4 linked regions of the Alligator mississippiensis genome follow. The protein of the gene in region 3 interacts with the protein of the main gene of each other region in a pairwise test. Links are inferred from orthologs where the notes say so. Each region holds a gene or a part of one and is shown on either strand. Other genes may lie near its edges. The genes, in order: LRIF1, AFAP1L1, GADD45G and EEF1A1.

Region 1 (7,791 bases), on a different chromosome or scaffold from region 3:
TCCCTGAGTGAATCATGATTGATTGATTGATTGATTAGTAACTGGGAACACAGCAGCTTAGCAGCCAGGCCTGCAGCAGTGTCTCCCCTCCCCGCCCCAAGACAGACACAGTTCCATAAGCACCCATGGCACCAGTTTTGCTTGTCCGCACGCAGCTTGAGGGGCAGTTCCCCCAAACCTCTGCACCCATCTTCTTGAAATTTGGCAGGCTTTGTGGTCTCAGTAAGTGCTACCAGCCCTGCAGTTTTGACCCCTCTGTGTTGTAACACATAGACATGACAGGAGTTTTGCTTTCAAGAATTTCGGGTACAGTTCCCCCCAAACCCCTGCACCTATCTTCTTGAAACGTGGCAGGCTTCATCCTCTCTGCAGAGCTTTCCACCCCTGAAAATTTTATCCAAATCAGACAAAAAACAACAAAGTTACAGATATTTTATTGTTTCCCCATTATATCCTATAGCTGGATCTCCGAGGGGGCTCCGAACTGCTTCGGGAAGCCAAACAAGGCAGCGCTTCAACCCGGACGCTCTGCTCCGGACCCCAAAGCGTCCGAAGCTTCTCCAGATCCGAAGCTCTGTCCAAAGCCTTGCACAGCTCTAATGAATGGTACCCCAGGTAGCCAGGTCAAGTGCATCTCCACAAACTATAGTCACGGTAGTGACCGGCGTGTAGACATTAAGGAAGTTTGGATTTCACTGACATGATTAAACCCAGATATAATCCAGGCATTATTCTGACTAGTGCCTTTTCTACAGACACAAGATTTCAATATAGAAAGACCCCTGCAAATAAACCATTGCTTTTCTGGATTTTCAGAGGTTGAGAATTAAAAAATAATGTTCTCTTGGAATATTTATAGTTTAAACACTTACCCCAGACTACCGTTTTCTAAACTCATCTGTCCAACAGATTTTTCCCATTGATAAGAGTGCCATGGGAAACTAACTGTCCTGATTTGACATCAGCAAGATCTGAGTCTGAGGAATAACATTCCTCATCATTTTCACTGGAACAGTTGATCAAAGAAGAGGCTCTTGTGTACTAATCTCCTTTGTGTTGATATAATTTTAGATTAGTTGAAGTTTCCTCAATTGCTTCTTGGGGAAAAAAGAAGAAAGATGGTAGAAAATGCCAGAACTTCAACTGAAGGTAAACAAGTAAATCCCACTTGCTGGAGAGGTCAATGTACCCCTGATTTTTCAGTAACCATTATGGCAGGAAATTTATGAATGAGAACTTGCATGTAGCTCATCATAACGTTGTAGAGGTCCTCTTTTAATAAATGTTCTATCCAGGAGACAAGACCAGCTCAGGGTCCCTGGCTCAGTTGTTGACAACAAGGGCCCATGTCAATGACTAAAAGCCTGCATTTCATTGAGTAGATGCAATTTGCACCCGTAAGAGGTTCTGAACCCTTTCTAAGAGAGTGACTGATTAGAAAAAGGCTCAAGTGAGAATGTTGCTGCCCTCTCTCATCAAAAGCAGTGATTTAATCAGACGTCCAGAAAAAGTCTTCTTCCTTCTTATGTTCTGAAAAGAAGTTGCCTTTGACCCACGGAGAAAATGATCCACCCTGTAACACTTGCAGTCCCTTCCTTACTCTGGGCAGAGCGCTGCAGAGGGCCTCCTCTACAGAGGAAGATGCTTCTTGTTGAGAGATACCTATAAAGTATCAGAGCCCTATTGCGTGTGAACCCAAGGGAATAAGAGGCAAAATGAATGCCTCTCCCCCCTCACTAGTAGCCGATCACTTCATCCTTTGGGAACAGCCTTTTTTGTAGGTATAGTATTAGCTGACCTCTAACTCCATCTTTTTGGTACACAGAAGAAACATGGGTCTATTCCCATACAGGAACAGTCATCCATCCCCCTCTGTTGTTACAGAGGCTGACCCACTCTTTTTTTGGAAGATTGTTGCCTATATTTAGCCAGCGACAACTGTCCAATGTGCTCTGCTCAGTGTTTCCCCTTGGTGCAAATTTTTGTGTTTTAAACCTCTGACTTCCACTCCCATCCCCATTCTGTATTTTATTTGCCCCAAGCAATCACTGATGTGCCCGTAGTGCCCCCCTCTTCCTTACTAAGGGGAGTTTTTAGCTGTACTTGGTGGCCACTGGTCCAGCTTCTGGAATGACACATCAAGAGGCCTGAATTTCATCAAGAGGCCAGTATTTAGCTTGCTCTGCCACATCACTTGCTCTCTGGGTGGCCAGCTTAGGTCTAGATCGTAATATAAGAGTTTTCTTTTGAAAAAATGAACTCTGGTGTTTAGTGACCACTAAAGAAAGCTGGTGATTGAAAAAAGAACCAAAAAAATGGCATTTTCACCCGGGGGGGGAGCACACGATTTAGTTTCACATGGAAAAAAGCGTGCACAGCAAGACGCCAGCAGCCCAGCCTTCCCTGGACACACCCTGCTCTCCAGGAGCCAGCGGCATCCAAGCTCCTGGGTCATCGAACCGGCAATGCAAAAAAAAAAAAAAAAGATGCAAAAAAGGCCAAATCGGCCCCCGATGGCGACTCCCCCTGCAGTGGGGCCTATTGGACCCAGGTGGAGGGTGTCAGCCGCCTTCGCTCTTCTCAGCTTGTGCAGAAAAGTGCCCGTGCCACGCCCCCAGCTTCCAACTTTGCAAATGAGCATAGGAACCATGACGTCACGCTGCGAGGAAGCCAGACGTCACAACGGAGCCGCCTTCCCACGTGTCCCGGAGGCGGGGCGAGGTGAGGCCTGCAGTGCGCGCTCCGTCCGCTAGGGGCAGCTGCCCCTTCACTGAGGCGTCGGCCCCGAGGGCAGCCGCCCGGCCCGGCCCGCGGGTACTTACCACTGCGCGGCGCCGCCGGGCGCCTCTTCCGGCCGCTTGGGAGCCTGCAGCGGCGGCCCCGACATAGCGCGGGGCGCGGCGGCGGGCTGCGCCCTCCAGGGCCCCGCGCACAGGCCGCTCCCGCAGCCCCGAGCGCACGGACGAGTGGGTCCGCGCTCCGGCACCGGGCGGGGTCTGCAGCCAGCCCCGCCCACCGCTTCTCGCCCGCTGACGTCACTTCCCCAAACATCTTTGAAAACCAGAAGGCAGCCCCAACGCACTTCCGGCTTCGGGGACCGCCCTCAAATCCTACTGGCTCCCGCGGCATTGTCCTTCTCTCGGAGCCAATGGGATGCGGCTTCCTGCCTATCGGCTTCCGGGTCGCCTTGCGAGTGGAACAGGAAGGGGAGACATTATCCGCTTGGTTTTTTTTCTGCGCAGGCGCCAGGCGAAGTACTTCCGGTCTGTGAAAGTGACTTCCTGTTGCCAAGAGATGAGGGTTCTTAGACATTATTCCCGCGCCCCCGAGGGTGCACGTGGCTCTGGGGATCCCCAGTATCATCCATGGACCATGTCTCTTGGCTCCTGGACACAGAATTTCCTTTGGAGCTAGCTCACAGTTTGCCAGTTCTACAAAGGGTTAGGATGACAGCAGGCACCTCTGCCTTCAGTTCAAAATGAAGAACTACCTTCTTTGACTTAACTGATTCACAACAGAACAGCCTAACAATGAACTAGAAAATTGGGCGAAACAAGTCCTTTCAATGCATTTTAAAAAATTGTTAAGCATGCAGGTGCCCCATTGATGAGTACAGGATATGGCAGACAGATTAAACTAGATCACTAGGTCTCAAAATCAACCTAGTTATTTTTCATACAATGACATCTTGGAACCACTCTAACGTAGGGTGACCACATTTTCAAAATGCAAAAGTAGAACACTGAGCCTCCCTGCTTTGCTCTGCCCTCCTGTGCCGGGTCCCACCCACTGGGCCGCGGAGGCCCTGGGGGACGGGCAGCAGGGCAGGGAGCCCCAAGCCCACAGTGGGCAGGCCACATCCACCCTTGCCCTGCACAGAAATCTGGGGAGGGGCACATGCTCCCCCATGCCCTCTGCACGGGAGTGCATGAAGCACGGGAGGCAGCCCCACCACCAGCCTCTGAACAAGCCACTCATGGCACCGTTCCACTCCCCAGCCAGGCCCCATGGCTGCACATTCCTGCCCTGGCCCCAGGCCCCATGCGGTGCCCCAGCTGGGCAGTGCCTCCAGCCCCAGCTGCCAACTCTATTTCACTTTCTCCCTCACTGGGGGGGCTTCAATCTGCCCCCTGTTGCCCCCTGCATCAACTATGCACCCTCCCCCCGCATAGACTTATCTGTAGACAGCTGGGGAAGCTGCTCTCCACTGTTGCCTGCCTGTATTGCTGGCCACATGCATGTGTGCATGTGCACACATGCATGTGGTGTCCCCTGTGTCCTGTTCCCCTCCACCTCAAGCAGTGAACAGAAAACCCAGATCCCTGCATGTGATACTGGGACAATAGTTGCTATGGTTTGACTGTGTCAAGGGGAAGCTGGGACCAATGCTGTCCCAGAGTCATTCAGCCTGAGGACCAGGATTTGATCTTTACCCTGAGGCCTTTTCCCCACTGCTCTAGCAAGGCCACCCTCCCATTAGCGATATTGGGAGGGTAGGATATACTTAACCTCTGACACCTGTTTGTAGCTCCTGGTTAGAAGACCCACGTCACTGTTCACTGGAGAAACATTTGGAGTGAAGTACTTTATTTTTAAGAGGTTTAACTTCTCAGAGGAGAAGGAAAGAGAATGGTTACTATTTAAGTGTTATAGAAAAATATGTTAGGATGGTCACTGCTAAAATATTATTAAAACATGCTAGGAAGGATATATTTTAAAGGTAATTTAAGGATTTACATGTTTAAGAGATGGGTTAGAGACAAAAATAAAGGCCATATCAAGTAAAAGAGCTCTGCTGATGACATCAGGAGATGTGATTGCAGCACTGGGTAGGATGAAGCTCAGTGCAGCTTTTCTCACCCTAATGTAAAGATAGTCCCTCTAAACTCAAAATGTAGACCTTACCTGCTCAAGTTAATAGCAACATTTGCAGGTCTGCTTCCTTCTACATCCCAAGCAATGTAAGGAAGGGGCACAGTGGAACAAGAAGGATGGGCTTCCCTGCCCCTTTGTGCAAGCTAAATAGAAGAGATTGGAACAAATTTATAACCAAAACTGCTTGAGGTGATTGATACCTAACTGCCTGCCAATAGAGAACAGTTTTGTGAAAAGGTAATTATTTAATTGATCCAAAAGCAGTATTGCCACTCTACTCAGTTAAAAGCTTTTTCTGTATTGAGAGATATCACTGAATGGCATTTGGTCTCCAAATGGGTTGAAAGAACTAGATTAACAGACTTTGGATAAAATGTATGCAATGGTGTCCAGGTATAAGTTCTACCTGACCTCTGTAAATAAGTTTTAATTATGTCACAACAGATTGCTGAAATTTTGGTTAATACTTTGAACCAATATTTCAGAAGCTTGTCTATAATTTGAAGCCTTTTCTATTAAAGGTTAACTATAACTATGTTCTTCCATACAAAGGGTGGGGGGTTCAAGAAATGGTCCATAAAGTATAATATTTTGTTGGCCAAGAGACTGAACAACTTATATTTATTTGTTTTTCAATAAGAAATGTGAAAAATTAAATTGGGAACTGGTCTTGGTCATCACTTTTACTCTGTAGTAAAGTTTTGTGAGCTGTTCTGATCTGCTTTACAGTTTATTTCCATTTCCAAGGAGATTTTATCTATCTTGGTGTGAGAGGTGTAGCCAGTAAGCTTTATGTCATCGTACATGTGCACTCAAACCCTTGAGGTGTCAACTCATTGGACTGGACAGTTTAGCTTTCAGTGTAGTCCACTCATGTGGTTTGACCCTCTCTTTGTCTGCCATGCCTTGCTCTTGAATGTCAATGGGAGGGTTCTTGGTCATTAACAGCAACCTGCACAAGCTGCCCATGAGGAAGACGTATGGGGCTCCACATCCCCTCACACCCCTTCCACATGCCGACCCAGTGTTATCCTTGTGTCTCGTTTCCAATCCATGGGGTACTGTGTTCCCTGAGCCTTACTTTACTGGCCAAGCAACAAAATCAATTAGCCTCTTCAGGTTCAGCAGCTGTTCATTAGATAAATCATTCCATCCAATTAATTCTACCCACAAGTTCTTAGATAAATTAATTAGTCCCCTAGCATCTCAGGTCATTCTCTAAGTAAATCAGTGAGTCTGATCAGTTTCCCCCATGGTTCCCTAATAAATCAATTAGGCCAATTAACTCTTCAGCAGTTAATTCAAAGAATCAGTTAAGCCAATTAATTATTTGGCAATTCAGTAAATAAATCAGTTATGCCAACTAATTATGTGGCAGTTCAGTAAATAAATCAGATTTCATCAGTCACTCATGTTCTCCTAACGTGTTCAAAGTTCAAGTCCATTATCCTACCACGCAGTGCTGTGGCGAGTGGGGTAAACGCCAGATTGTTGCTGGAGTTGGTCTTGCCATTCCCAGAAAGACAGGTTCTCTGAGGACCCTATTTTGCACATGTCAGAAGCTGTTGTTATTATTATAATCATAATCATTATTAATATTCCATTTAAAACAAAAGCATGACATATACATCAGGCAATGGCATACTCTGTGTCCCCTGGACATTTTACAGTTCTGCCATTTCAATAAGGTAGATATTTCCATGCATTAAATAAAAAAAAATCTTATAATTTTGCAGGAACTGTTATGGATGATAATGATGCTGAAGAAATTGTATTACAGCCCTGATTCAGTAAGGTACTCAACCAGTATTAAACCAACGGGACTGTACACATGCTTATATACATGTTTGTTGAATGGAAGACTGTGAACACAAAAGCAGGTTTGGAGCAGAGGAACAGGCACAATTTTAGAAACTTTTTGGAAAGTCTCTTAACCTAATCTGCAAGGCATTTTAAATCAAACCCTTAAAGCTGATGTGTAAACTCTTTAATATTTTAAAATATTTTTAAATATGTCATTGAAAACTGGCAAAGAAAATAACCAATTGTACTGACTATTGTAAAACTATTTATAAAAATGAGTGAACACCAGCAAAAATCAAGCAATACCCTGGGACTGTGTCCAGTAAAAACTAATGTCCAACCAAATATTGAATGCTTGTGACAAATGACTTGAGAGGCATTTACAGACAATACAATTATTCATGGAATGACTAACAAAAACATTTGAGAAAAATGTGTGGTGTGCTGGGGATACTTCATGAACATAAACCACGCACAATTTATAGAATAAAATGTTAAGTAGAAAGAATTTTCCCATTTCAATAAAAAAAAACTATTTACACATGATCTCCCAGACAAGGCCCCAGAGCTCCTGTTTACCATTCTTTGGCTCCAGCTGGGTAATTCCTTGCAGAGATTATGTTAGTTCTCTAGTCTTGGTCAGTTTTCCTTCCTTGGAATTTTCTTCTCTGTGTCCACACTTTAGACTTATTTCTATAGCATCATCTACATTACCTAGTGAGAAAAGAGAGGAAAAAAAGTAAAATTCATAAACTTTTTAGAGCTCTATGAGCTGCAACATTTGGGGATGACCATTTGCAGATGAAATGATAGAACATGTGAACAAAAAATCTTTACATTTATAGGTAAAACATGAATGATATGGACATTAGGAACACCAGAGGTTCAAGGTTGGCTCTGATCTTCAGAAGTCACTTCTCTGTGTGGGATGGGAGCAACAGGTCTATATCACAGGATTTGTGGAGGATTAGTTGGTGAATGTTGCTACACTTCTATCTGTAAAGTGTAAACAGATAATGTACATCCCTACTGGGGCAGTGATGTGGAGGAATGGGGAAAATAATTCTATCTGAACACACAAATTAATATAAAATGCCTAGGACTATCTTGTCG
Region 2 (7,875 bases), on a different chromosome or scaffold from region 3:
GCATGATAAACGGAGGGACAGCAAGACGTTTACATTCGCGTGGAGCAGTCCGGGTGCCAACAGCGATTTATTATAAACATTACAAGCAGAGAGCATGACTGTTGTGTGAGTTACCATAGAAGGCACCTAGGAAAGAGGCAGCAAAGCAGCTCTCAACACAAGCGAGCCCCAGCCCTTATTCGGAGAATGAGGCTATGCAGAATGGGTAGACTGGGGGTAAACAGATCCTGCTATTCTTACACAAGCTACTGCTAAAGTAAGTGTCAATCCCCACTCTGCCCCGCTCTCCAGGAGCTGTCTCTTGCCTGCTGTTTTACACGTGGATATCCCATTTTGCTCTGTTGAGAGCCTGTCCTGGATTTCCAGGGGTGCACCAGCCAAGGGGCTAGCCCAGGCCAGCCTATTCCAGACTGAAAGTGTCTCTGAATGGACACCCAGGAACAGGGGCTACTGTTGACAGCTTTGTACTTCAGCCCTTTAGTTTGATGCTCTGCTGGTCCCAGGAACGTGAGTGTTGATGAGTCCCAGGGTCCCTGCAACATGTCAGGGGAACAGGATTGCACAGGTCTTGCTTGGCAGGGGAGCAGGACTCAGACACTGCTTGTGTGAAGTGCTGGTCCTGTCTTCACAGGACCACTTCAAAGGGCTGCGTGCACAGGGCGACAGGGACAGCCGTTTGTTAACTACGTGTACCTCAAAACCCCTCTTCTCTGCTAGGCTGGTATCACCCCCACATTACAGGTACAACTGAGGCAGAGAAAGGAGACAAAATTAGTGGCAGAGCTGGGAAGAAAGTATCCAAGTCCTGATTTCTAGTTTCCTGCTGAGGTAGACATGCGGTCAGACCGGCCAAAAGATGAACAGTTAGCAACGGGCTCAGCATCATGCAGACCTCACCTGCAAGTCTCTTCAACACCCATGGCAGGCCTGTAAACCAGAGGGCTGGGCAGCAGAGAGATGACTGGGTCAGTTAGCGAGGCAAAGAGCAGCTGCCTTCCCCTCTCAAACACCACCCCCCACTGGAAATGGGCACTCATCTCTAAACACTGAGCAACTCCCAATGAGAAAATATCCCATACACATTTCCACTGAGGAAACACCACCCATCCTTTCACATAGGGGAAGAGGAACTCTTCGCCCTTCAGAGTCTGCCTTGTGCTAACGCAGGGTTAAGACTCGGGCATTGTTTGACTGAACTCCTGGACTTCAGAGTATTCTCACCTTACCAAACAGAAGTCACCCTTTGGGCAGCTCTTCCTCCTATTTATTACTGTTACCATTGTTCCTAGGACCCGCAGCCCTGGGCCAAGACCCCACTGTGCTAGACACTGTTGCACCCACCAGCCCTGGCTACATCAACTGCATTTACATCAAAGTCATCCCTCCCTTCCAGTCCAGAGATGCTCCTCCCAGATCAGAAAGGAGCGATCATCTTCAGCAGTGGGATCAAGTGCACAGCAGGTTTATTTATAACTACAAATCAAAGCCCAGCCACTCTGCAGACGGGCTCCACAAACTACAGCCGTGCTCTTGGAATGTGTGTCCATGGCAGCCCCAGACAGGGTGATCATATCCTCCCAGTACGGCTCTGCTGCCCGCCCCTGCTCGACTGTGGTTTGCAAGATGCCTTTGGCAGAGCAGCTTTCCTGGGGACTGACCCAGCAAAGAGGTGTTGATCGCCTCTTTTAAACGGTACTTTCCTTATTGCGCCTATTCTCTCAGATCCTTAAAATGCATGGGAGTTTTACAAAACAAATCTCAAATCTCTGAACTTGGGCAGCAAAGGAAAGCCCCAAGTCACCCACTTCTGCTTCCAGTCCAGGTTGCTTTCACCTCCTCTGCTGCTCAGACAGTGCCCTGCTGTCCAGTGGCGATGCGTAGGAGGTGCACGGCGGTGAACATGCACCCCCTGAGAGCACTGGTGCACCCTCTGACAGCCAGTGGTCCTGGGTGGGTGGGGGGGGCAGCCGAGAGTGCCGGCGCTCCCCCTGAGAGTGCCAGCCAGGAAGTGGGGGTGCCAGGAGAAGCAATCCAATCATGCTGATCTGGAAGTGTCAGTGGCATGCTGCTGCCACTTGAGGGTCAGAGGGATTGGCCGCAGGGAGACCCCCCCCCCACTTGGTGGGATTGGTTGCAGGGGGACCCCCCCTCAGTTGCTGACTGGCTGCTGGGGGGGCAAGTGCCCCCCACCCCCGACTCAGGAGGCACCAGTCGCCCATGCTGCTGTCCCTCACCTCCTACAGACAGGCCTTGTAATAGACCTGGTAACAGGCGTTCAGTTCCTCCCAGCAGAGTGGTGGCTCTCCCAGGAGAAACCACAACCATCCTCATGGCCGGGCTTTTTCTCCCAGGGTAAGAATGGCTGCTTGAGAGAGAAATAACCAGGGAAGAAGCAGGGCTCGGTTTCCCCTGGAAGAGCGAGTGCCTGCAGCCCCCACCCCGGCGAGCGCCACCGCGCTGTCCTTCACAAAGGCTGTCCCCGTTGCTGATGCTGTTGGGAGCTGGAAACCAGGGTCCTCAGGGATGGCCAGGTTCTCCGAGTCAAGGTGATCTCTTTTATTGGACCAGCCAACTGTGTAATACCAGATACCACATCTGCTCCGCGAGCCCTGCCTGCCTCTGTCCTTAGACCAGCACGGCTGCTCCCGCCCGCGCCACAAAGGGATGGGCGTTCAGATGACAGCAGGCTGCTCGCGATCGGGCCCCTCGGGGATAAGCTGGGGCGGATTGCAGGGGATAAGGGGCCAGGCGGGAGCGGGGCGGCCCCGCAGCCCGGGCTGGGAAGCGCTGTTGTGCGGCCAGGGGCCTCCGCGGACCCCCCGCAGCAAGGCGCGGGCAGAGGCGCGGGGCTCGCCCCGCAGCCGGGTCCCCCCGCGGCACCTGCCGCCGCCCGCGCCCGCGCTCACCGCTCAGCCGCTCCATGCCGCCGCCGCCGCCCTGGGGATGCTCCGCCGGGGCCGTGCAGCGCCGCCCGTGCTGCCGCCGCCGGGACGCGGGGTCTTAGTGCCCTGCTCCCGCCCCTCCCTCGCCGGGATAGGGCGGGCCGCTCCCCGGCCAGGTGCGCCCCGCCCCGTCCTCGGGCCGGCCCTGCCAGCACACGGCCCCGGGGGCGCCCACGCCCCTGCCCCCCTCCGCCGGGGACTTGCACTGGGGCCTGAGGTCCCCTCCGGCCCGGCTGCTCTGCGACCGCATCTGAATCCGACTGAGCCCCCTCTGTGCCCAGGGCTCCCTGGGGGGCAGGAGGCAGAAAGGAGGGGCCCCGAAGGACTGGTGGCTTGAAGAACAAAATGACTTTTCCTCCGGTTCCCCGCTGCCAGGCCCTGGGCTGCGAACAGCACCTGCGCCCGGGTCTCTGAGGGAGACAGACGTGTGCGAGGGGCGCTGAGAAAGGGGCTCTCCCAAGTAACCGCACCCCACAGTTAAGGCCAGCCGTTTCCTCCCAGGGAAACCCGGTTCAGTCTCCTTCCTCCCTGCTGCTGCGCCCCGGTCCATCCAAAGGTCCTTCCCCTGCAAGACTCGGGTCCGTCACCCCCGTTGGGGTCTCGCGTCTCCCCGCGCATTGTGGGGATCTGGCACCTCAAACAGCAGGATCCCCTTTGGGGTCCACGGCACTCATCTGCCTGCATGGGGACAAAGCGCCAGGGATGCATTCTGGCCCCTGTTACTCATTCTTCTCTGCATGGGGGAGCAGAGGAAAAGCTTCAAGGACTCAGCCCTAAGGGTTAGGAATGAACAACTGCTAGGTCTCTGGGCTGAAGCAAGGTCTTTTCTTCCCTTGAAACAAAAGGCCAACCCATCTTCCTCCTCCCAGCTCAAATTGTGGTTAAAGGCGGAGGGACAGACTCACAGGGACAGACTCCAGCGGGAGCCTACAAAGCAACTAAAGGAATCACTAACTAGGCTCCATCTGGCTTGTGGTTGTGCCTGCAAAGCACTAAAATTAGCAGATTAGAATCGGCCAGAACAATGGTCTTCATGCAAAAAGTTTTAGTGCCCCAGGCCCCACCCCTCCTTGATCCTGGGGGAGAAAAGGATGCGAGAGACACTACTTGCTGGCAGGGACCGGCTTTTCCTAAGACTTCAGTGGACTTGCCTAGGGAAAGGAAGGGCTGGTGTGAATGTACCTTCGGGTGCTATAGACCTGGGAACACACAGATATGGATGTTAGCGAGACACAGACAGCCCTATATGATGTCTTCTGTCCCCTTAAAATATTCTAGCATGTACTAGCATATATCATAGTCCTCTCTCCATTTTCTCCAGTCAAAGAACCACCCCCCCAGCTCTTTTGTGTTTTGGGTAAATCACTTGGTTCCTTTAGGGTCACTTGCTTCTGAAAGCATCAGCAGGCATGCCTCGAGAAAGCAGCTTCCTCCACCTACCCTTTGCCTTCTTTTTGTAGTTGGCTGCTGAATCTCTTTTCCTGCCAACCTCCCACGAGCCTGCTCAGTAGGAGTTTTATTGTTGACTTTAACAGGAGCTGGTTGACACACCTCTTGCTGTAGGGTGCATCTGGGTAGATGAGGTTAGAAAAGTGAAGGAAATGCACTTTTCCCATCTTTAGGCTCATGGCATTCTGTCTCACATAACCCCCCCCACCCCCATCCCCAATACCTCCCTTCCCAAATCACACTTAAGCTGGGTGTTTCGACCTGAGAAGAGAGCCCTTTGTCTCTCTTGCTGTGGGCTATGGAGTAGAAATCCCAGATTCACAAGCTTGTATCATACTTACTGTTATGACAATGCATTAGGACTTTAAGCTTGAAGGGTAAGGTGGCAAGATGTTGGGCCCTAGGACCTCAGAGCATTTGCTCTACCCATCCTTCTGGAAGATCATCCTGGAGACTCTAGATGCCCCAGGATAAAGCACCAGGGAACAACGCGAACAAATAAAGGACCTCGAGCACATCTTCCTCAGTCAGAGCCTTCACAGGTGGTAGCCCAAAAGCTTCCCTTTCTTTTCCCTACAAGCCCCCTCCACCCTGCTCTTCAAATTTGTCCAAAAATAAAATGAAAAATCATAGCTGCAAGCCTCTCCCAGTTAAAAATGTTCCTAGTGAGGCTGGATCCTGCCAGGATCTTTCTGGAAGGCCATATACATTGCTGTATCCCCCGCCCCAAAATAGGAAAACGCCTGCTAGGGATGAGGATTAGCAACTGTGTTATCTTCTGACAAGTCAGACTACCGCAATGATCTCATGTAATGTTACTTAGCAACTCTGTGCCTCAGTTTCCCCATCTTTACAATGCAAATAAAAATGCCTCTTCTACCAGTGATTTGTGAAGAATATTTAGATAATATTTGTATAGTGCTTTGGAAATGAAAAGCTCTCTGTAAGTGTTAAGTGCTGCTGTTATTGTTAGTGTTATTATTATTAACATATTGGGAGTCGTGAATCCCCTGGGGGTTATCGTTGACACTGCTGTTTAAGACTGAGGTTCCTTATAGCTCCAAACAGCTGAGTTTGATTTAGGGAGCTGCAGTTTTATATTATGAGGTGAAATCATTATAAATACAATTGGCTGCATTTACTGCTGCACTAAAGTAGACAGAAGCAATTACCAGCACAATATTACAATCTCCACTTCATCCCACAGCTGATTCCACGCTGGCATAAAAGTGTAAAGAGCCACTGCTGCTTGCTAAAGAGTGATTTTCTTCCCGCTGTTCCATCATCATGGTGCCAACTGGGTGGATCTGCAATGGTGCCCTCTGCCAGCAAAGCAAGGCTACGGACTAGGGTGATTCCATAGCTCCTGACTGCAGTTCTTTGTGCAATGAGTTTGGCATCTTCATCTTAGAACATCCCAAAAGGCACATCCTGCAGCCTCTCCCTGGGGACCCTTCACCATGCACCTGAAGCTGGCCTCTGTGGTGGTGCTAACTTGATGAAAGGGACAGAACCCAGCTGATGAAAAAAACCAAAGTAGAAAATATCCCTTGCAGATTTTTAAGCTGACCATTGCAGACAAAAATTGAAAAGATCCATTAGATCATTAATTCCATACCCTTTGTGAAAGCAGAACATTACTCCACTCCCATAAGAAAGAACATATTGACTGATTCAATACTGGGTACTGACCCTGCTTCACTAGCCATAGACTGGAGTGCCCAGTTCTGAGACTTTCCAAAAAAATCATGCCAAAGAAAACACACAGAAAATCAGAGAAACATACAAGGCAGCAGGCAAATGCATTTGTGTTGAAATAGCATATTAGTAAAAAAACCAAACAACCAACAAAAAACCCACAGTTTACCCCAGAGTTAGATGAGAGTCCTTATAAAATTCTTTATTAGCCCCTGCAGAAGACTGCAATACTGATTTGATCTGGAACAGGATACTGCTGGTCACTAAGCAACTCTGAAAAAATCTGAAAAAATCCAGCAAAAGAAATAAAAAAGGGAGATGCAGCTCCCATAACCAGCTATTTGGACAAACAAAGAGGATGCTGTACTGACTGTTGCTGTTCAAGACAATGTCTAAATGGAGAATCTAAAATGCGGCCCACAACATTAAAGCACCCTTCTGACTTCTCCAAGGCTCAGGTCTAGATCGATATGGAGTTTGGGTTCAAGGCCACTTACAACCCTTACAGCAGCAACAGCCCTCTGCAGACCTGATGATTGGGCAAGAGCCAAGTGCAAGGCCTGTGTAAAGGGCCTGGGAAGGCTGGGGACTGAAGGTGACAGACAAACTACTGTTTTGGCACTATGGGAGGTGAAGCTGGCGTTGGTATGGACAAGGGGAGCAGGGTGGAGCCATACTGGTGGAGCCCTGTGGTCTGGAAACATCAGAGTTGGGGAAGCATGTGGCATAACTAGAGAGAGCGTGGCCTTGGATCATGAGTCTAATCTCTCTGCGTCCACGTGTTGTTAAAGACCTGCCAGAGTGCTTTCTGGGAAAGTGCAGAACAAAACTCAGCCCAGAGAGAGCTCTACTGCTAGCTCTTGTACTGTCTTTCCCCCATGTTTTAGTGTCTGGAGGTTGTTTTCCTAATGCGGGGAATGGAGAGACCCAGTCCATCCTTTATCTTTCACCCATTTGTTCGTTACATTACTAGGCACAACTGCAGTGTTTGCATTGCAGGGGGTGAGCACTTTCATCACCAGGAGCTCTACAGTCAGAACTGGAGCATGTTCCATGCTCCCAACCCTGGGAAATGCGTGAGGCTGAGAGCCAGGTGGAAGAGGTACAACTGTCCTAGACTCAGTGGAGCATCCTGTAACAACCTTCATAGCCTTCCAACACAATGCCCTCTTCAGCTCTGCAGTCCCTGAGCTGCACACAAATATATTCATTGCTGGCAGCTGGGGAAAGGAAAGCAGAACAAAACTGTATCACTGCTAAATGGCTGTCATGTGCCATGCCATTTCCATCAGATACCAACACAGTCCAGGGCTGTAGGGAGGGCACAGGCAGCCCGTGTCACAGGGGAAGAGGTAGTCTAGGCCTGCTCTATTCACTTCCCTGTGCAGTGTAACCTCAGCTCCTGGGACTGCTGAAAGAGGAAGAAGACAACCCCTCCCACACCAGTAGGTGCCTGGAGAATACCAAGAATCCTGCTGCTAACAGGGATTGAAACAGGTGCTGAGGGCCAGCCTCAAGGGAGTTGGGAGAACCATGGGCAGGAAGGGGAGAGTTCCACCCCTTCCCTAAGATCCTGCCACAAAGCAGCAGCCAAGCCTGACGTGAAAGGGCTGGGGAGGCAGGAGGAAGGAGAGTACCTAAAATCTGTCACTGCATGTGTAGCAGATACCCATTCTCCCTGCCACCACAAAGGTAGAGCTGGTATATACAGACACGAGCGCTTCTGAGAAAGTGAGGCTCTGAGGGAGGCCAGGCACTCAGAAAGGCCAGAGAGTTTACTACAAAC
Region 3 (7,131 bases):
AGATTGAATATGTGCAGATACACCATTTCAGTAACTGCGTACCCAAATACATACACTTTTTTTGTTCTAGATTACTTTAACCAATCCAGATGTGTTAAATTATTGTCTATTCCTTTTCTTCCCCTCCCTCCAGCATGCGTGTGCACGCACGCATGCACGCACACATGCACGCATGCACACACAAGCTTCGTGATAAGTCAAAGTTCATTAAAATTGTGATTACAGTCATCAGATTGCAAAGCACTGCATGAGTTTAGAACTTTCTGGCCCCATTTACATGAGACGTTTACTATGTAGTAGCTAGTTATGACTGTGCAGTAGTGTTGCGTGGCATGAACTGTGACATGATGCTACTGCGCACTAATAACAAGCTACCACCATGCAGTCAGTATCATCAGGAAGCCACGTGGGGATACCACTGCGCAGTAATGCCGGTTATTGCATAGTCATTCAGTACTTGGGTATGCAAGTACTAAATGACTGCGCAGTAACAACTGCACAGTCAGCATCTCGTGTAGATGTGGCCTTTTGCTACTTTACTACACTTGGAGACTGGAATTCACTATAAGCAGGCCCAGTTTACCTATATACAGAAGTAACAAGCACCTTTTACTTAAGCCATCCTCACTAATTGAATATGAAACTTGCAGCCACTGCTAAAACCAGAGGTTATTCTTGTAAAATGTAAATGGTGCTTACATTCGCAGAGTGCATGTCTGCGTACACCAGAGCTAAATTTGGCCTATTATCACTTTCCAGATAAGTAAACAAAAACAAATTATGATTTGTTCGAGACAGTCCACAGTAGGGGCAGGATTATTACACAGATGTTCCTGGCTTCTAGGCTATGCACATTGTATTAAATCAAATATAAACAAATTATTTGTTGGGGAAAAAAAAAATTTAAAATATTCTAGATCAGTCCTATTTACTTTTGAGTTCTTGGTATTACTTGAAAAATGCTCTGAGGAAAGATTCAGGTATATCTGGTACATGCTGTTATACATCTAGTATATTTTGTATCTGGTGTATACCTGGTATATCAATTAAACAGCAATTCTATAGGAAACTATTGCTGGAGCTTGAAGTTCAGGAACCGACCTATAGCTTAAAAAATCTGGAAATTTTGAGGCCATTAGATTTGCATACTGATGGTGTTGTGTTTGCAACAATAGTAGGAATTAGAAATAAAAGTAAGAGGGTATGTGACAAACTCGAAACCTGTTCAGCTTGAGGAAAACTTCAGCAACAATGGTATGTAGAAAAGCTGAAACTTCTGTATGGACAGGTGAGATTTAGCTCACATCACTTGTGTGATAAGAGAAGCAGGACTGTCTAGTCAAGACAATGCTTGATCTAGGATTTCCAAATAAAATACTGAAAAGGACCTTTTCTGTGGTCTGGATCTTCATACCTTAAGACTTGTAAAGAAAGGCTCTGTGGTAATGGGATACAGAGCCTTTTGTTTCTTGCCTGCTGGATCAAGTCCAGTCCAAGTTAGTAGCGGATAGAAGTCATTAACTGATGATGGCCCTCTCATGGCCTATATAAAGTGAACTGATGCTGGGATCAGTCCACTTTTTAGGAGACAGCTATCCGTGTAACAAACACAGAGGAGATGCCAGTAAGTGAACAGACACAGGGACCAAACTATTCTCTATTCTTTAAACCTGGGATGTCATGGGGAGTCTGTAAAATCTGCACGTCTTTGCCAGTTCTGTATGGATAAATACAAAGCTTCAGAATTTAATTAAGTCAGTCCTGTCTTATTCACCCTAAATTCATTTGGAAACATTCTAGCACCTCAAATTGACCTCTTTTCAAACTGGATGCATATAAAAGCAAGTTATTTATTTATTTATTTTACCAAATCTATGCCCCAGTCATAGGATCCAAGAACTGGAAAGGACCTCAAGGGTCACTTGGACCAACCCCAATCAGAAATTTGAACATATCCAATTCTGTGAAGAGCAGCTTTTAAAACTGATTAGTCTCTCCCTTTAAATATCACAGCCCCAAACCTTTAAATAGAAAGTTACATAACTGATTTTCACTAACCAAAATGAATGAGGGTATATATACTGGAGTTAGTATAATATATGAAAAGAAATGTGTGTGTTGGGGGAAGGGGGTTGCAATATATGATTTAGGTGAATAACTAAAGCATGTTCTGAAAAATCTATATGAGCATCGTATCAGTTGTATTCCGCTTATCTAGGTAGCACAGGTGTCATACACTTACAAATAGCGGCTTCCATGCATTTAATAATTAACCCCGTGGTTTTCTTTTTTCCCCAGAAGAAAATAACTGTCTCCTTTTTTTGCTTAGGTAGCTATTACATCCTGAAGCCACAAGGTGGCAATTCAACTTTAATGTTGATTATTACCATTCTCCTAGAAAATGCAAATCTTAGGTGTGAAAAAACAGCTGTCCCTGTATTCTGTAAGGAGCACAGTGAATTAGACATCACCTTCAGAGAATTTGCTCATAGATTACAGCATCATTTATGTCCCTTACTGCGTTTGCCTACAGTGGCTCATTCCTTTTTCCAGTAAATCCTTCTGCTGCTTCTGCCCAGTGCTTCCAGCAAGGACAAGATGATACAATTCTCAGCAACGGAAGTTTAGGTGAGGTATTAGGAAAAACTCTCTCACTAACAGGGTAGTAAAGCACTGGAATAGGCTCCCCAGAAAGCGTGGTGATTGTGGAATCTCCATCTTTGGAGGTTTTTAAGACCTAGCTAGACAAAGCCTTGGCTGGGATGATCTAGTTGGGGATGGTCCTGCTTTGAGTAGGGGGTTGGACTAGATGACCTCCTGAAGTCCCTTCCAACCCTCATTTTCTGTGATTCTGATTTAGCAGCTGGTGTTTAAATGTCCAGTAGATAGCACTACTAGCCAGCATTACAATGCGGCCAAAGTAGAAGGTAGCAACAGGGATTTCAGGGGAAATGAACAATTAAACTCCATGAACGTAAATGACTTGCAGAGCTCATAAAACAGGAATCAGATTTTCAAGGTAAGCAGGTACATTTGGCCCAGCCTGAGCTCAGAAACCCAACCCTGCTACAAACTATGGCTACTTTTTTGGTGTCCACAAAAACCATCACACACTGTTGTACCTGGGTGGGGTGGAGATTTATTTGCATAGAGCAAACGGATAGATGGTCAGACTGGTATGGATTGTAGGAGTTTTTGCCTTGCTCTGTAGTGGTGGGGCACAGTGACCTACCCAAGACCTCTTGGGCATATATTGATATATTAATCGAAGCAGGACACTGGGTGCCCTGGTTCCCTGGCTTTACCTGTAGCAGGTTAGGGTGCTAGGCCTGTGTTGTGTCAGGGTTGACAGAAGTCTTACATAGTTTAGATTCTGGATTTATGGGATGGTTGGATAGGGATGATCCTGCCTCAGGCAGGAGGTTGGACCAGGTGACCTTTGTAGGTCCCTTCTTGCCCTACTCTCTCAGACTCATCCGTTTCCCTGCAGTTTCCTGAAAGATAAGGGTTAAAACAAAGGGGTAAATGATCAAGTCTTTAGCTTGGAGACGATCATTGCGTGCTCCCCAGGCCTCAACATTCAATTTCAATTGCCCCATGGAAGTGTGGGCAAGTGGAGACATTCATCTGCACCAACAGCTTGGACAGCACCAGAGAGTAAAGCGATTGTTTCCCCCTTGCTCCCCCCCTTGCAGCCCAGCAGCAAATCCCCACCCCAGTGGCAGGTGGACAGTGTTGCTATGAAGGGGAAAAAAAAAAAAAAAAGAATCCATTGTCTGAACTCCAAACTGCCACACGCCAGACCTCCGCCATTGTGCGCCCGCTATAGAGATGCAAAGCAGCAGCGTGTGCCATCCACAATCTGCTCCGTGCAGCGGCTCATTACTCATGCAGGCCCGGTGCCCTCCTTGCTCCAGGCTGCGGGGAGCATCTCGGCAGTGGGGCACAGGGGCAGTGAGGAAAAGAAAAGGGGGGAAAAAAAGTAATTAAAAAAGAAAAGAAGAAAACTAACCCCCCCCAAACCCACAAAATAAAATAAAGTCAATGTTAATAAAATAAAATGCAATGACACAAAAGAAAATGAAATGAAATACATAAAATAAAATATTATAAATATGATAAAAAACCAAGATGCACAGAAATAAAATAAATAAACTATTAAAAATAACTAAAATAAGCACTACTAAAAACAGTCATAAAGTAAACAATGAAATAATCAAAATGAAACAATGCAATAATAAAATGAAACAATCAAAATAAAAGTAACAAAATATAACAATGCAAGAATCAAAATGAAATAAGAAAGAAAAAGAATGAAATAATCAAAAGGTCAATAAGATAAACACAAAAAAATAAGACGATAAAATAAACAAAATAAAAAAAACAAAGAAAAAAATGTCAATAACTAAAAATCAAATAAGCAGCGTGCAAAGGAAAGGGGCAACACTTCCCCTCCCCCCGAGCAGAGATTTCTGTTTGTGGTGAAGCGCAGGCCCCTCTCCCCGGCCGTGCAGCGCGGCGGGCCGCGTGCAGGGTGCAGCTGGCCGGGCGGGTGCAGATGCGGCGCCCCCCGCGCGGCCCCGCAGTCTGCCCGGCAACACCCGCACCACAGCGGGACCCGCCGCCGTGTCAGCGCCCCCCACGTGGCCCCGCGGCACGAGCCGGCCCCGCCCCTCGCCTGCTTTGCATCAGAATACTCGGGCCTGCGGGCCAATCAGCGCCGCGGAGGCGCCCCCAGCTGCCGGGCGGCCTATAAAAGGAGGCGGCAGCGCTGCGGTAGCATCAGTGTGCTTGTGGGTGCCGAGCGCGGGCAGGGTAGGGGCGAGCGTAGCGGTCTGCGAGTGCCGCGTGTGGATACTACAGTCTGTGCCTGCGTCGGCAGCAGCATCATGACTCTGGAGGAAGTTCACGGGCAGGAGCCAGTGCCGGAGACGGCTGATAGGTGAGTGTCTGCTGGGGCTGGCACTGCGGAGCCTGTGGTTGGGGCTGCACTTGACTGGCTGGGGCTGACGTGCGGTTCAACTGGGCGCTGACCCCCTCCTTGTGCCTCTCTTGCAGGATGCAGGGTGCTGGCAAAGCCCTCCATGAGCTCCTGGTATCGGCGCAGCGGCGTAGCTGCCTCACGGCCGGCGTCTACGAGTCTGCTAAGCTGATGAATGTGTAAGTCTGCAGCCAGTGTCCTATTCCCCAGCCTGCCCATCTGTCCGTACAGCCACCTCCCTCCTTGCCTGGTGCGTGGAGCCTGGGGTTAATGGATGTCTGCCTCTCCCTTCCCCCCCCTGCAGGGATCCAGATAACGTGGCGTTTTGCGTGCTGGCCATGGATGAGGAGGACGAGGGGGACATTGCCCTGCAGATCCACTTCACTCTCATCCAAGCCTTCTGCTGCGAAAATGACATTGACATCGTGCGGCTTAATGACACCCCCAAGCTGGCCAAGATCCTGGGGCCTGGCGAGGAGGCGGGCGAGCCCAGAGACCTCCACTGCATCCTCATCATGGTGAGTGGCTGGGCTGGGTTTGTGGGTGCTGTGGGCATGGCTGCCCTCTGCAAGCAGCTTGGCATCTGCTCCATGGGTGCCCTTGGGGTGACACTAGTAAGTGCTTCTGCTGGAGACCCCTTCCCCAGTCTGAGAGGTGTGTGTGTGTGTGTGTGTGTGTGTGTGTGTGTGTTGGATACTTGTCTGATGCTACTTTAGCATGAATTTCCCCACCTCCCTGCAACTTGCCCCACAAAAAGCAAGGTCCTGCTTGTTCCCCTTGAAGGGGATGTGCCAATTTAAAGGGCTAAATCCACTCCTTTTGTGCCAGCATGCTCTCCCAGCTCAGTGCTGCTCTGAGGACCAGGAATGTGTTTACTCATGGAAGCTCTCCTTTTTTTTTCTATTGCAGAACCCCAATGGGGTTGCATGGAAGGATCCAGCCCTTGAAAAGCTGAACTTGTTTTGTGAGGAAAGCCGGAAGGTCAATGACTGGGTGCCCACAATCACCCTGCCGGAGTGATGAATATCCAGTGCACTAAGAAGGCTGAAACCTTTGTTGCATTCTTCTCATGGTGTTGGCTCACCCGGTGTGCAACAAGTTGCTGATTCTGTGGATTAGCTTGGTCAAGAGATCGGATTGAGTCGCTCGGACTGGCACCAAGCAGGCTCTTGTGGAGAGAAGAGGAGGATGGCTCGTGCCAGCAGGTTGGCCCCACTATGCAGTGGGGCTAGTGGAGGGGCTGGCATACTATGGAGCTGAAGGAAGTACTGCAAGTTTCCAGGAGCTGAAAAAACTGCAAGTTTCAGGGTCGAGTGGAACTGTTCCAGAAGGCAGGACAGAAGGTTGGGAATTGGACAAAAATCACATGGAAGGACTGGACAAAACAACATTGTAACTAGGAATTGTTGGCAATGTCTATGAAATATTAGGAGGAAAACTTTGATGGCCTAGTTAGAGACTTGTTACTGTGACGATACAAAGACTTTTATGCAGACTGTCTTGTACAGACTGACTTATCAGGCCTTTTGGCTACTTTGCAAAACTGGTTTGATTAATGCAATAATCATTTTTATTACTACTTATGCTGCTATTGAAGCATTTGTTTTTATAATAAACTGTTTTTTGACAAATAACTTCTGGTGTCTTGCTTACCTGGATAGGGAAAAGCTTTTGGAGATGACATGCATCCTTTTATATAATGTATATTTTCTCTTTCTACCCCCTTTCCAAATGCCTGTTCTCTGGCAGCTAATGCATGGAAATGTGCCTTTACTAGGAAAGACTCTTAGCTCTGAGAAAGTAGCTGATTTTAATTCAAAGCATGGCTCTTCAAAACTGATAATTTGACCTTTCACCCCTTTGCAACAGCTGCTTACCGCAACAGCTTGCAAGACTGAAGGGCTGCATGCTTAATGACCTTGTTTGTCATAGGTGGCTTCTACAGACGGTTTCTTTAGTAGAGTAGTCCAAGAAGACTTGGTTTCAGACTTCCTGGTGTTGCAAGCAGCTTGCTCTCTGAACAAAAAGCTTTGCATGTCTAATATCTACATGTATTTAACCACCTTACTGGGGGGGAAAAAAAAATCTTGTAGCAGCCATGTCTTTGCACTTACTCTCATCAATAACATTATTTCTGCATATGTGTCCTT
Region 4 (7,993 bases), on a different chromosome or scaffold from region 3:
GCCTTGTATAAAGTAAGGCCTAGTAAATTTAGCCTTGAAGTAGTAAGGCCCTGTGGCATAGTTAAAATTACCCTATCAAAGAAATGCAAGGTTTGTACTGCTAACTGGTCAGTCTAAGGACAGTTGAAGTAAAAGGAATCTGAGTGGTTGTACGTTATCAGTATCATTCAGAAGCTTTAAATTAGCTGGAATATCTGGAAACCATTCAGAAGGAAGATACAGCTCTGTGAAAAGGATTAGTTAACTGTTACCTGGATCAGTGGGCCCGTGGACCTTGAGAAGCCCAAGGACTGCATTCCATGGTCCTTCCTGGTACCCCTTTGGACAGTGTCGTTCAGGGACGCCTGACTTCACTGAACTTTGTGAAAAGAGAAGCTTGCTGTGTATCAGGCATCAGAGGGGACTGCCGATAAGTTGCCGATGCAAATTGCTTTTGTCTGTCATTGTTTGCCTTGTTACTACGCGTAGTTGTTTTTGTTAAGTCAATAAAACTTTCTTACCTTTCTCCCCTGACCATTCTCTCAATCCCGAACCCCCTGCAGGCAGCTGGGACACCCTGACAGGCTGTGCTCCCCACTTACGCAACAGGCGGGGGGGCAGGCTGAAGCGCTGGTGCTCCCCCTGCGAACACTGGCTGGGGAGTTGGAGTGCCTGATGAAGTGCCGCAGCCACTTCCCGGTTGACACAATTGGCTGCGGGGGTCCCCCCCCCCCCAATCGATGAGATTGGCCATGGGGGGATTGGCTGCTGGGGGGGCACCAGTCACCCATGCTAGAGGGTCTTGCTACTTGCTCAGGGTCAGACCAATTGCCATACTTGGGGTCAGGAAGGAATTTGTCTCCCATGGTCAAACTGGTATGGACTGTGGGGGGTTTGCCTTTCTCTCTAACAGGTGGCATGGATCTCTAGAGCATATATTGACAATATTTATAGAAGCAGGACATTGGCTGCTGTGGTTCCCCTACTTTACCCATGTTCAGGTGTTAGATCTAGTTGGGTCAGCCTTTTGTGGAGTTATACTCAATAGTTTTCTTGTCCAAGGTAAACATTGACATTTGAGGGGCATATACGGTGAGCCCAAATTCTTGTAAGTTTGATTTCCTCCACTTCAGTATTCTGTTCCAACTAATTAAACGCTCCTCTTAATTCAAGTTGGAGCTTTCAGTTCTACTGCTAAAGATTAAATGGCAGTTATAGAAAGGAGGAGGGACAGAAGACCATTTTAACAAATACCTTGGACTCTTTGCCTGTCTTGTCTTGACTTGATTTTAAAGGTGTGTGCATAGAATGCGGGAAAAATCGAAAGTTGATTTACTAGTATTGTTAGAAGAAAAATCCATTATGCTAAAATTGACAGTTTTTCTGCATCTCTAGAAGATTGCTTTTTTTTTTTTTTTAAAGGCTTCTAAAATAATGAATGTATTTCTTAAAATCTTGCATGTCTTGCAACTGAAGATAAGCTGCTTGGTGTATTGAATTCATGGATTGAATCCCTTTTTCGGCTTCAACAAGTGAGGAGCCTTGTGTCCATATTAAGGGGTGTGATTGGTTTGAGAGTATTCACCAGGGATTTATTTAGCTTAGCTCCCTGTGTTGGATGAGAATGTGGCAGGATCCCAGTTTATGCAAGTTTTGCCTTCTCAGTAAAACAAGTAAGTACATCTGGAGGTGCTGCACAATAAACCCATATTGGATGAGAAAAACTGCCCCATCCTCTACTTTTGGTGGATGGCAAGGAAATTGTAGTAGTATCCTGTCAACAAGAGTTGCTGCTTATTTTGGTATCTGTCTAGCTGAATGGGTGCAACTGTCTCTGTCCCTCAAGGCCTCTTCCTTGCTCCTCCTCTTAAAGAATTCAACCTTTTTTCTCCCCGTCAAAACAGGGGCCCGCTTAGTCTTGTTTGGGACAGGAAATCAGGTTTTTCCCCTTTCCATAACTTTTAGATAAGGAACTTGGTAACTCCTAAGAGTGGCCATAGTGGCTCCTGGGGAGGGGGTTGGAATAAGCCTGCTTTTATGCACCTCTCCACCCTCCCACAGAAACCAAAAACCAAATGACAGTTCTCTGATTAGAGAGGAGTGGAGATATCCTCCCTTCAAAAGCGCAGGTCAACCCACTCAGAGCAACTGGCAGGGCAATAGGAGACATGGGAGAAGTCTGCAATGGAGAAGTGGAATCAAAATAGGCTGGAAAGGCTGGACGATCAGGGTATTCCTGTTACACCCTTTGCTTTTGTGCTGATATCCCATATGCCTCTTCAAGTGATCAAGAGACACTGTCTCTTGTGTTTTTTATGATACATAAGGAATGAATGAAAGAGATTCCTTAGAAGTAAAACCTTAAGTTGAGCTTTTAATACCATTTATAGAACTATTTATTTGTTTGAAAAACAGGTGATCCTTTTAATCTCTCCTCTCTCCCATTCTACACACCAAATTATACTAAAGCAATACCAATACATTCTCTGCTGTGGGTGCCTTTCCCAAACAAACTTTTATATAGAAACAGATGCCACCTACAAACTGAGATACTAAACAAATGCTTTGGGTGTAATTTCCAATGTTTTTATTAATATTTTGTAACTAGTTCCTGACACACTTCCCTGTAAGGTTACTGGTAGGCTTTCTGTCACGAAGCATCACTGTACAGTGTGTAAAGATTCTGTGTACTATATTCAAGGACTAGTGGGACTGACCTGGGTCGTAACTGTGGGGAAACTTTTTAAAGGAAGAAAAGATTGTGTCCAGGGCCTACTTGGTCCACCCGCTACCCATAGGTTTGTTAAGACAATTCTTTTATAGAAAGTACATGAGCAACAGCAACCACAGCATGAAGGAGGAGATTGCTAAATCAAACCAGTTAAGTTTGGAGATTTTAGATGCTGACACACTGAGTTATATGCACTGGCCGTACAAGTCACTGGTCACAAAATCAGTTCACATAACTATCGATGAACACACATGAATGTAGATTACCCAGTTTCACACACCTACATTTTCATAACTTGAGGCTTTATTCAAGTCTATACCAGACAGTCTCAGTCTTTTAGAAGTCCATACCGTACAGTCATATTGCCTAGTATCTAGAAAGTGCACTGAAAGTTTCTGTTGATGTAACCACGTAGTCCATGCCCTTTCATGGGTGGTTATACAAGGTTGGAGTTATACAGGTATGTTCTTCAGTGCACATTTTCCAGCAGGTGACGTTAATTTTCAGACTGTTGTACTACTGCGGGTGGAGTCTACATTTGGTTTATTTCTACATTGCCAGAAGTGAATCAGAGCCAAACGAGAAAATGCTAAGGAGGCATGAGCCATGTTAGAGCGGGCTGCTTTCCTGTTTCTCTTTCTTAGGCTCCTGATACACGTTACGTATATTAAGCAACTGACTAGTGCATCGCACAATAATTTTACATTGGCCACATGTGCAAAGTAAAACCTGTCACAAGTACAAAGTGATTATCACAGAACTGGTTAATTGTGCAATAAATCTAGACCAGCCACACATGCAAAGTAAAGATAAGCCATTAAAAATGACTGTCTGGCTAAAAGAAGAGGCAGCCAGCTACAAGCTTAGTGCTTGAAAATGCGTAACAACGCTATAGCTGGTTTCTGTCCAGCTTTGACTGTGGCAGGGCCCTCATTGTCTACAAAAATATGCTACTCCTTGAACTTCCTGGACCTTAAACGAAGGAGGCTGCACACGAGAGGAACAGGGGAAAACGCTGGCTGTGCCCCGGTCACTCAGTCAGCACCTGCTCTTTGCCAGTGTGGCCCAGACCTGTTTGTTGCACTTGGGGAACAGAAGCCTAGGCCCACCAAAAACTATAAGCCCCCCCCTTTAAAAGAAAGGCCACTGACAACTCAACACGACTGGTTTGGAGAAAAGACAAAAAAAAGGAAACAGAAAAGGATGTGAAATCACAAGTTCAAAACAAGGGATCAGAAGGGAACACCAAGCATAGCAGACTTGCCAGTGCCTGCTGCATGAAATGGGGTGCCTGTGGACACGGGCCAGTGAAACCGTGCCACAGGATGTGAGTGAAGACCACCCCACACTCACGTGAGTTTCCCAGGCCAGAGCCTGGCCTCATGCCTCCTTTGCTGTTAGACATGTTGCTGTCTTGGCCAGGGCCAGGAGGAGGTTGACCAATAGGTCCTGGGACATGGTGAGGCTGCAGGTGGCGACTGTGCACACGGAAAGGTGCAGCTCCAGCCTCCGCAGGACTTTCTGGGGTGAGAAGGGGTTGCAGCCTGGCGTGCTGGGGCGGGTGCGCACCGTCCGCCCCCCAGAAGAGCCATGAAGCATGTCTCCGTCCCTGGAGATGTTCACCAGTCGGCTGGACAGGCACCAGCCTGGAATTTAGGCCAGGTTTGCTCTGGCCTAAATGGTCCCGTGAGGCCCCTTCCAGCCCGGCCTTCCTACTATCTGCTGCCCGCCCCCAAAAGCAGGCACCAACTGATGTATCTCTGAGCGAAGGAACCGGTTTGGCTGCAAGTGAAGCACGCGGGGACCCAAGTCTGAGCCAAAAGAGGAAGTCTGCTCGGGGAGTCGGCCCCCACGGGGATCTCGCTTCCTCTCCCGAGGCGGCGGCGGCGGAGAAACGAGGGTGCCTCAGTCACCTCCGACCCAGCCACCGGCGAGGGCAGGTGGGAGGAGACGGGCCGCCTCAGCGCGGAGTAAGTGCCGCTCCCCGGGCTCCGAAGCGCGGCCCCGGGCGCCCCCTTGGGGACGCAGCGGAGGGGAGGGGGAATGGGGGATGGGCCGCGTGGCGGGGCCCCACCCGCGCAGGTGCTCTCCCGGCTGGGGGAGGGGCGCTCGGGCAGGGGCCGTCGTCAAAGTCCGGGCAGGGAGCGCCGACGTACGGCTCCGGGATATACCGCTGCTGACTTGAGGGAAGCAGCCCCGCCCCATCGCAGTTGGGCGGCGCTCCCTGCCGGCCCGGAGGGGGTGGGGAGGGGGAGCGAACGGAACGCTGGGAGCCGTGACGTATCCGTGGGCCCCGCCCCGCCAGCCTATATAAGGCCGGGCGCACACGCTGTCGGTCTTTTTCGCCACGGGTTTGCCGCCGTCTTGTAGGTAAGCCGCGGTGGCGCGGGCCAGGCCCGGGGCGGGCACAGTGGCAGGGGCGGGTGGGGCCCCGCGAGGGGGGGGCTCTGGTGGGGCCAGGGGCCGCGGTGCCGGGGAGGGGCGCGGGGGGCGCCACAAAATGGCGTCGGGTTCCTCGTGCCGGGGTGGGGGCGTAGCACGTGGCCGCCGCCCTTCCCCCCCGCCTCTTAGCGGGGTCTCAATTTTTCGCGGAGCGGGAGCGGGGCGGGGGGCGCGGGCCGGGGAAGATGGCGGCTCTTCCTGCCTGCAGGCAGCGCCACAAAATGGAGGGCGCGCGCGCGGCCCGGCCGGGCGGGACGAACCGCACAAAGGAACGGGGCGGCCCCGCCTTCCCGCGCCGCCCTGGCGCCGGGCCGCGGCCCCCTCCGGCCGGCGTGGGGGCGCTGTGGCCTGGCCGGGCCGCCGCCGCAAGGGTGGGTGGGTGGAGCCGCGGCCTTGCGTCAGCCGCTGCCCTCGTGGTCGCCGCCGCCCGGGCTCCGGGGTGACTCCAGCCTCTTCTGGCCCGCAGGTGCTGATTTTTCTGGGAGAAGGGAAAGCCTCACTCGCCAGCCGCCGCCATGGGCAAGGAGAAGACCCATATCAACATCGTTGTCATCGGCCACGTGGACTCGGGCAAGTCTACCACCACCGGGCACCTCATCTACAAGTGTGGCGGCATCGACAAGCGCACCATCGAGAAGTTTGAGAAGGAGGCTGCCGAGGTGCATCTGCGGGGGAGAGGGGAAGGGTGGTATGAGTGGGTATTTCCTGGAGTTGGGGGGTCTCTTTCATGTGCTTAGCAGAAAGCATTGTCTTGCCCAACTTAGAAAAAGTGCTGGTGAGGTGGCAACTGCTTGTCTATATGAGCCGGGAATCTTGTTCCAGGAGAATTCCAACCTCTGTTTTTAGCCTTGATGAACACCTTGATATTCTCTGCCCCCAAAATGCAGTTGCTTGCTGCAGTGTTGAAAAAGGCCGTGTCTACTCCTGGAGCCATAGGCTCCTAGAGAAGTCGAGCTGGGAGGGACCCCCAGAGGTTGTCCAGTGCATTGCTTTGTGCTTTCAAGCTACTAATACAAACAATAAGGTTGCAGCAGGGCAGTGTTGGGAAAGCCACCCTGCCTCCCCTCCTGTGCTCCCCCTGCTATAAATGGGGAACCAGGAGGAGCATGACTTGGCCCAACTTGTGTAGCTGGGAATTGTTCAGGCAGGCTGTATCAAATAGTTGATGAGTAACTGCTGTACTCCAAATTTACCTTTTTTAAAAGTGACTTATATGGGGCTTTGTCTTTAAAACTGAGTAATATTGGAGGATATTGCATTTGTTCCAAATTTATCATGCAATATCTTTTTTCTTTTTTTCTATTTGGACTATGCCTCAATAAGAATGACTCAGTAGGTGATGGCATTATGCTATCTGTGTAAATTCCAGAGGATAAACGCATACAGGCTAGCTGTGGGAAGGATTACAACGGTATGAAAACAAGCTTCCAGAGGACACTTGATCTGATGGACCTTGTGGAGCCAAGCTAACTTTAAAGATGTTAGTTGTAGTTAATGAGTTGTCCAGGGCTAAAGTGACATCAGGTTAAATAACAGAAGACAGATGGAATCTCTCACTAGTTGTGCCAAGTGTGTCTAGGCCAAAGCTGTGCTGGCAGCAGAAATCCCTAGTGCAGTAGAAGCCATCTGCCACTGTAGACTTTTTTTTTCCTGTCCCTTGGCTATCCTACAAATTGGGTTCCTTTTTAAAACTGCCACTTACAAAGTATAATGCAAGTATATCAATGACTCTTGTTTGTTTGCTTGTTTAATCTCCTAGATGGGCAAAGGTTCCTTCAAGTATGCCTGGGTTTTGGACAAACTGAAGGCTGAGCGTGAGCGTGGTATCACAATTGATATTTCCCTGTGGAAATTTGAAACCAGCAAGTACTATGTCACCATCATAGATGCTCCTGGACACAGAGATTTCATCAAGAACATGATCACTGGCACTTCCCAAGTACGTAAAATGAGAGAATTCTAGTGCACTTAGTTTTTTGTTCTTTATATGCATGTAAATAGAAACTTAATACTTCTCTTTTTCAAAGGCTGATTGTGCTGTCCTGATTGTTGCTGCTGGTGTTGGTGAGTTCGAAGCTGGTATCTCCAAGAACGGGCAGACCCGTGAGCATGCGCTTCTGGCATACACACTGGGTGTCAAACAGCTCATTGTTGGTGTTAACAAGATGGATTCCACTGAGCCACCTTACAGCCAAAAGAGATATGAGGAAATTGTCAAAGAAGTCAGTACTTACATTAAGAAAATTGGCTACAACCCAGACACAGTGGCTTTTGTGCCAATTTCTGGCTGGAACGGAGACAACATGTTGGAGCCCAGTGCTAATGTAAGTTGTTTGCTTATGGGGGGGGGGGTGTTCCCTCCTTTCTTTGAAGGGGACTATTGTGATACATTCTTCACCCTTTAGATGAATCTATGCACCTCAGTCATATTAGGCTTAGTTTTTAAACTGATAATTAAGTTACTTGGATGTGTTTTAGGATATTAGAAATGGATTTTTTAGGAAACGGGACAAATTTTAATGGTTGCATCTTATTTTGCCACAGATGCCCTGGTTTAAGGGATGGAAGGTCACCCGTAAGGATGGCAATGCCAGTGGCACTACCCTGCTTGAAGCTTTGGATTGCATTCTGCCACCAACTCGTCCAACTGACAAGCCCCTGCGTCTGCCTCTTCAAGATGTGTACAAAATTGGCGGTAAGGTGTTTTTGTGTGTGGGGGAGGGGAATAGGTTGTACCTTCTCCTGTATCTAATTTGTTGGTGACATTCCATTCCATAAGTTTAAAAAAAAGTGGTAGTAATTTCCCTTTTAGTGAGAGACTGTAACAAACCGGTGTGAAGT

What was found.
Region 1: the proteins of GADD45G (region 3) and LRIF1 interact in binary tests that used the Homo sapiens proteins (3 or more experiments, as listed by UniProt). The link is inferred for Alligator mississippiensis from reciprocal best matches to the Homo sapiens genes GADD45G and LRIF1.
Region 2: the proteins of GADD45G (region 3) and AFAP1L1 interact in binary tests that used the Homo sapiens proteins (3 or more experiments, as listed by UniProt). The two-hybrid records come from large-scale screens. The link is inferred for Alligator mississippiensis from reciprocal best matches to the Homo sapiens genes GADD45G and AFAP1L1.
Region 4: the proteins of GADD45G (region 3) and EEF1A1 interact in a two-hybrid assay, tested with the Homo sapiens proteins (2 studies listed by BioGRID and IntAct). The link is inferred for Alligator mississippiensis from reciprocal best matches to the Homo sapiens genes GADD45G and EEF1A1.

The regions. Positions count from the first base shown.
Region 1 is NC_081837.1:31,558,587-31,566,377, reverse strand, and holds the start of LRIF1 (ligand-dependent nuclear receptor-interacting factor 1), read right to left. Parts: upstream 3,004-7,791; 5' UTR 2,888-3,003; coding exon 2,823-2,887; intron 1-2,822. UniProt on the Homo sapiens protein: Together with SMCHD1, involved in chromosome X inactivation in females by promoting the compaction of heterochromatin.
Region 2 is NC_081832.1:60,634,708-60,642,582, forward strand, and holds the start of AFAP1L1 (actin filament-associated protein 1-like 1), read right to left. Parts: upstream 3,016-7,875; 5' UTR 2,923-3,015; coding exon 2,907-2,922; intron 1-2,906. UniProt on the Homo sapiens protein: May be involved in podosome and invadosome formation.
Region 3 is NC_081826.1:211,290,147-211,297,277, forward strand, and holds GADD45G (growth arrest and DNA damage-inducible protein GADD45 gamma), read left to right. Parts: upstream 1-4,771; 5' UTR 4,772-4,889; coding exon 4,890-4,942; intron 4,943-5,058; coding exon 5,059-5,160; intron 5,161-5,285; coding exon 5,286-5,499; intron 5,500-5,890; coding exon 5,891-6,001; 3' UTR 6,002-6,615; downstream 6,616-7,131. UniProt on the Homo sapiens protein: Involved in the regulation of growth and apoptosis. Mediates activation of stress-responsive MTK1/MEKK4 MAPKKK.
Region 4 is NC_081824.1:63,916,787-63,924,779, reverse strand, and holds the start of EEF1A1 (elongation factor 1-alpha 1), read left to right. Parts: upstream 1-4,979; 5' UTR 4,980-5,080; intron 5,081-5,618; 5' UTR 5,619-5,667; coding exon 5,668-5,811; intron 5,812-6,911; coding exon 6,912-7,091; intron 7,092-7,179; coding exon 7,180-7,476; intron 7,477-7,696; coding exon 7,697-7,847; intron 7,848-7,993. UniProt on the Homo sapiens protein: Translation elongation factor that catalyzes the GTP-dependent binding of aminoacyl-tRNA (aa-tRNA) to the A-site of ribosomes during the elongation phase of protein synthesis.